Linked DNA regions of Saccharomyces cerevisiae S288C. Changing the gene in region 2 together with the main gene of any one other region gives a genetic interaction. Each region holds a gene or a part of one and is shown on either strand. Other genes may lie near its edges.

Region 1 (3,473 bases), on a different chromosome or scaffold from region 2:
CATGTCAGAGCAACAATGGCGCGAACAGCTGCGCAATAGAGACATAGCATTGTTTCAGCCTCCAAATTTCGATTGGGACCTTTGCTCTTCGGTACTATCGCAGTTTGAAAGGTCATATCCAAGCGAGTTCGCAAACCAGAACCAAGGGGGAGCCCAAGCGCCGTTTGATATAGACGACTTGGCGTTTGATCTAGACGGTACAGGAAAAAGCCAATCCGGCTCAAATTCAGGTAACAATAGTAAGAAAAGGAAGAACAAATCTAGTGGAAGTTCGATGGCTACACCAACACATAGTGACAGTCATGAGGATATGAAAAGAAGGAGGCTGGAGTAGCTTTACGCCATCGCATATCAGCCCCACTATAAATAAAGAGCAAGTGTTCATGGAAGTGGCACGTTTGTGCTTCGGCGGTAAGTACATGCAGTATATATGTTTAACTTTTTTGAATATAGAATATTAATTAACACGGAATAGGCTATTTTGAGACAGGCATGCTTTTTCAAAACATATCAAGCCATTTAAAATATTTGAACCAAGTAGGCTCAACGAGAATACAATTGGCCTTGGCAAATTTTTTTGCCATCTCCTGCTTATGGTTGAAACCCCAAATATGTGGTAAGTTCCAACTTCTAGTTCCATTTCGAGAAGAAACTTCCAACGGAAACTGTTCCAAGTGTCCCTCAATGATACACTTTCTGCCTTTAATCTCTTTGACGTTTGCTTTTAGTATAATCGTAGTATCTACAGGAATGTCCTCAAAAAACTCTAGCGACAGCCTTGCAGTTACACCTCTTTTACTAGGCAACAAAGGGAAGCCACAATAGCACAATGCTTCATCCAGCAACAATGACAACAAGCCCTTATGGACGTTACCGTCTCGATTCCCTAACTCAGCACCTAAGTGATAAATCACGGTTAATTCACCGTGATTCACATCATGGAACACCAAAGGATCAATTTCAAGCTTCCCCTTGCCGAACAAGAGGCCTTGTCCTACATGATATTCCCTATGCCCGCTTGGTATTTTCTCACTGAATAAGACATGGTGCATCTTCTCATCCTGGGCCAACTTGTTGTAAACCTCGCTTTTCTCGATTTGAGCGAGGATGTCAACCCTCTGCAGCTCCATAGGTTGGCGGCTCTTGGTCGCACTAATCAACTCCGCTGGCGTTTGCGGATCATTCAATGATAGAACACCGGCATCATCGGGCCACGCCTTTACAAACGCACCAACTCCTAATGTAAAACCTGCCGTAGGCAAAATTACTGCCCTGTTGACTAATTTAAATAGAAATGGAATAGTTCTGGACATATTGGAACTCACCCTCGATCTATCCTGTCATTTGGTCATTGTCTATAAAAATAAATACCTTGTTTTATATCCACTTTTCGAAGCGGTCCCCTTTCGGCGATAAAGGATTTCGTAAGCCCGAAGGCTTTAAGAAACTTTGCAGCACAAAAAAAAAAAAAAAAAAAAAAAAAAAGATCATCAACTATGACGCTGCCTGTGTTGTCGCTAGATCCTCATAATTCACTATCAAGTCATTATAGTTTTCGGTATGAGTTATCTGCAACCCATGCTCATTGGCTAAGTGTAGAAGGCATATAAAACAAAAGCTTGTTGAAATGTCCTTTAGTGTATCATCCGAATACATTTTACTTATACCCTGAATGATATCAGAAAACTTGAGCTCCTTTGTTGATTCATCTTCTGTGTGGGTTTCACTGTCATTAGAGCTTTGTTCTCTATTTTTCCTACTGTCATGTTCTTGTATCAAATTGTTGATCGATCTCCATACGTTTTTCTTTAATCTTCTTACGTCAACTTTTTTCGAAACTCTTGAATAAGTAACTTTATTTTCTCGAATGGGGAACTTATGATCTTCGTCATCCTGTAAATCAAGTTTCACACTGGCCTCCTCGTTATCATCTGTTCCTTCGAAAGCTTGGTTGAAGTCAACACCGTCCATGTCATCTTCAAACGGATTATCGAGCGCTCCACCCACCACATCACCAACCTCTTTAGACTGCTCCTTTTCTTTTTCCTCTTGTTCTTTCCTTTCGTAATTATCCGCCCAAAAGTGCTCATCTGCAATAGTAGGAATGTCGTTATTTGAATGGTTGGCAGAAACTGTGCTTTTTTCAAAAAGCCCCGAACTAACGTCGCCTCTGGTATGCTTCCTATGACTGAACAGACTCATTTTCTGCCCCGGTTTAATGAACAATCTTGTTATTCTATCAGTGGAAAAATGGAAGTCATCCGGCAGTAAATAATGTGTGTCGTTCTTTCTGTTCTTAATCGGCATGTCAATCTTTGTCCTTCCTTTTGAGGCAAAGACTTTGTCTTCAAAACTATCATCCGTTTTGAAGAAATCAATTTCCAGAACCTTTTTTTGTTTATGCTTCTTCTTCGTATCCATCGATTTGTCGTCCGTTGTGTTTTTGTCAGTAGTATCTCCTATAGTAGTTCGCGTTTCTTCCAACAGGTCGGATTCTTTATTCACTAAGTTTGCTTTCTTAAAATTTCGTACTTTCCAATGTTCTCTCCCTCTCCAGTTTCTATTTAGATTTTCGTCAAAGTATGCCATCAAATCTTTTTCGAATATACTTCCTGTGGTACTGTTGACATTATCATCATCTTGTTCATCATGTGATGTATTGTCATGATTTTCATCTGGATAGCACAGCTCCTGTTGCATGCCCATATCAAAGCCATCGCTATCATCTTCTGCATTATCTGGGACAGCTGCTTGCAATTCTTCTTCAGTTAAGAAGTTATCAAATCTGTTGTTAACATTTTCGATAAAGTCTTTCGCTTGATTAATATCTTCGACAACGTTCCTTAGTTGCTCAATCGATCCTGAAATTTCACACACCGCAATTTGATCAAATTTTATAAAATCCATACCAAGAGATAAAATCTCATCTTCCATGGAAGGTGCACTAATAACGGAATCATTTACGGTTGAGTCATTACGAGTACTTATCAATGACTGGCTAGGTTCATTTTCGTCATCTACTAAACTATCTCTTTCAATTAATTCTTCTTCTTTCCTTTGAAGTTTACCTTGCCCTACGTTTTGTGTATCCTTAATTGATGCATCGAAAATGACTCTTGCAGTGTTGTCTATGTTTAATGTGTTCAACAATAAACTCTTGGCGCCACCTTCATCGAAATCAACCAAGGCCTTTTTGAATAATGGATCAATTATTAATTCCTGGTCTAGCTCTTTCATCTTGATCGTTTCGAACTCCACCAATGTTGTTTCTAAAACTCTGTTGTACACTCTCCGCCTAGTGTTATTCACATCAGGATCATTAGATATAGGCATACCAGTTAAGGGATCAATCTCTATATTTGCTTCGTCACTGTCACCTCCAAGCCCTTCACCATTTCCCCCGTTACTGTCATCTCCGTTAGATGCCCCATTCGTCTTTCTTTGTGCCAACCCGCTCAATAACTTACCTGTTT
Region 2 (3,313 bases):
CAAAAATAGGTTAAAGTTTTATGACAGCATCCTAGAGACTTTCCAAAAGCAGATGGCGCGGTTGAATGAAAATAAGGAGCGATCGTCATTGCTTGGATTAGAAGAGGTCGGTTATATAGTTGAAGAAATGTTTAGAGGCAAGTCTCCTATTAGCGGATACTCTACGAAACTAGCTCTAACAAAATGGGAAGCTAACAAAGAAATCTCCTTAACCAATGTTGTTCTGATGACGAAAGAAGAGCAAGAAATTCACGAAAAAAGGATTTTGCTGGATGGTGAGAAACTGACAGCTGTATACTCTGAAGAAGTTCTCGATTTTATTGAGAGGCTTTTTAAAGAGGAGGAGTACTATTCTTAGCAATGGGAGATCAAAAATACAACATATTGAATATAGATTTATTAATACTATTTACATCATAGTGTAATGCAGTGTACTTCCTATAGAACCCGAATAGACGGTTTCATTGCGATATGCAAATAAAACAAAATGCGATGCATAATTAAATGCCAAAATTCCATTTCATTCTTTCATAGACGAAAAAACTACATGCAACCATAGGTGTTACTTTAATATAACCTATGCTTAGACCAACAAAAAATCCACGTACTCCACGTTCTTTAAATATTATGTGAGCAATTTCAGATATCGATTGAAATTTATGATCATACATAGTTTTTGGTGACAGTGCACTTACTTGGAGCCTTCTCCTAATAATTTCAAATGGATATGCTGCCGTTTGGGAGGCCATACCAGCTAGACCACCAGAGATCAATTCAGCCCACGTACGCAAAGGCCTTCTCTGCTTTTTCTGTACTCTTTCCAATTCATCATCTTCTGAAAGTTCTAATACTGAATAAGGGGCAAAGAAAGGACTCTTCAGCACATCATGAAGTAAATCGTGAGCAAAAAAGGAAACACCTGCATATGGTATCATGCCAAGTACAGTTGGAACATAACCCCTATAAAAATTACACCAATGACAAAACCAGTTAGGAATATAATCATTTTTGATTAGCGTGGCTGAAGCTGGTTCCTTATATATTTTCTTGATTATTCTTCCTAGCTTTACTCTCTTATGTTCTGTTTCATATGCTAACCTAACCCTCACGAGATCTAACGGATATGTTATGAAAACACTGCATAATCCTGCCAGTGAACCACTCACCAACCTTCTCCAATGTGACTCAAATTCTTTTGAGGGAATCAAGGTATTCCTAATCTGTTCATAAGCAACAAATTTGACAGCAGCATATGGAAAAATCCTTAAAAGGGTTGCTGAATGGCCTTGAAAAAACCCCCTTACCCCATCATTGATCCATATATGCTTGGCTGCCTCTACTAATCCTATTAGTGAGCCTGTGTACTTTGTGTAGTGCGGATTTGATGTTTGAAATAAAATTTTTATTCTATCTAAGGGTGCGATTAGTGTTTTCGCACATGAACCTGATATACCTCCAGCTAATCCCGATCGTACAATATAATCGAATGAATTTCTATCAAACGAGGTTTTTTGTGTAGTATTCTTGTTTATATGCTTATAGCTGTCGTTAGAATCTGGGCTATCTCGCGTCATACTTAAGAACTGTGTTTATTTTAGCAGTTACCTCGAGAAATTTCACTGGTGCTTTCACGAGCAAACTATTTTGTTACTCTGGCTGTTATGTCCTTCTTAAAGGATTTAACGAGTTCTAAAACGGCAAAGTTTTCAAGTGCTTGGATTTACACTATTTGAGGTTATTTTAAGAGATGATCTTTCAAGGGTTTTAAATATTAATTATAATATTATTTGGTCTTTTCTTCCGGCGGGTTGAAAGTTCCAGCTGCGGGAGGAAGGTAAAGTACTCCATTTGAAAAAATAGAAATTACAAGAAACGGCGTTAGCATTGGCGTATGCCTAAATCATCAAAATGGCGAATGAAATAGGTTTCCCTGAAAACATAGAGATGTGCTGCCCAATTACAAAGCTCAAAAGATACATAAAAAGAGGAAAAACAAACCTGTAGTTAACTTTTCCCTACTCTTTGATAACTGATGTTTTAGTAAATATTCTGAAAATAGAGGGGTAAATATTTAAAAATGTTGTATGGATCAATTACTTTTTATACCTTTTATGATCCAGTTTAAAAATATGTATAGATAATCGAGAATATGCAAAAATAAAAAAAAATACAAATGTGTTTTGCATTAATTCCTCTTCCAAAATGATAGAAAAGAACGTAAAACAAATAAATAAAATCACTCAGCCGGTTGGATGTTTTGGCTTCAATTAGGTTTATCTTCTGGTGGAGTATGATCTTCCAATGTAGGTCCTAACAACGGAATCTTTTTGTATAGCGTATCTTGAAACTTAGGCCATCCTTCTGTGAATACAAATAGCCCAAGCATGCTAGCACCACCCCATAACATTAAATTCGGAGCATAAGCTGTTAAACTTCTTAAAGAAAGTCTACCGAAATGTAGACCAGTTTTTGAAGACAGATGAGAAGTGTACTGTATTATAAATGTTAGTATACTAATTCGGTTCTAGCTCACATAATATGATAGGATACTTACCGCCATTGAGGTTAGTTTTAAGTCTTATGGATTGTATTTATCGATATATTATTCGACTTGCGCTTTTGCTGTGAAGATTATTCCAGAAGATATCTATAACAAATTATGCATTCAAACTGTTATGTGATATATCCCGTCCCCTTGATAAATGGTATGGTTTTTTGATGCGGAAACAACGGGTTGAACCATATTTAGTTTTAATTGGATCAAAATCACGTGACAAAATACTACTTTGCAATAGTAATACGCACTTGAAAACTATGTAAATATAAGTATATATTCAAAGTGCGACAGCGTTATATCGCATAGCATTCTTCAGTCATTAGAGGTAGTGGTGAAGATTGAGGACAGTTTCGCGGCTCGTAACGTTAGCAAAAACTACCCATAACTAGGTGCATATTACACTGATATTAAATTACAGAGTGAGAAATCGTACTAGTATAATTAAAATAGAATGAGAAGCCTAATTCTTTTGGATTCCATGCTTTTTATAAGCCGGAATAGAAAATTTTTCAGTGAATGTCTGTCCTGGTAAAATCGGGGCAGTTTCCAAAATGCTCCTGATCTGTTCTTCATGCTTGTCGGTCCCTTCAGGGATGTGCTTGTAAATATAATAATCTAAATCCTCACCTGGCTCTGCCCTTCTAAATAGTTTTGAATGAAATTCAACGCCGTCTTCGGCCCTCTTTTTGGCCAGCTCTCTTTGGCGGTTTTCTATCTGAAACTTTTCTTCTGTAGCTACTTCATGGTCACGTACAG

The links.
Region 1: of LEU5 (region 2) and MRX3, a mutation in one rescues a mutant of the other (synthetic rescue), as found in Saccharomyces cerevisiae (2 studies listed by BioGRID, with this or other methods).

What each region holds. Positions count from the first base shown.
Region 1 is NC_001134.8:41,117-44,589, reverse strand, and holds MRX3 (Mrx3p), read right to left. Parts: upstream 1,314-3,473; coding exon 501-1,313; downstream 1-500. Other genes in the region: ROX3 (Rox3p), read left to right, coding at 1-334; condensin subunit BRN1, read right to left, coding at 1,495-3,473. UniProt on the Saccharomyces cerevisiae protein: Component of MIOREX complexes, large expressome-like assemblies of ribosomes with factors involved in all the steps of post-transcriptional gene expression.
Region 2 is NC_001140.6:107,073-110,385, reverse strand, and holds LEU5 (coenzyme A transporter), read right to left. Parts: upstream 1,575-3,313; coding exon 501-1,574; downstream 1-500. Other genes in the region: TCD1 (tRNA threonylcarbamoyladenosine dehydratase), read left to right, coding at 1-358; QCR10 (ubiquinol--cytochrome-c reductase subunit 10), read right to left, coding at 2,264-2,491, 2,555-2,560; oxysterol-binding protein related protein OSH7, read right to left, coding at 3,018-3,313. UniProt on the Saccharomyces cerevisiae protein: Required for the accumulation of coenzyme A in the mitochondrial matrix.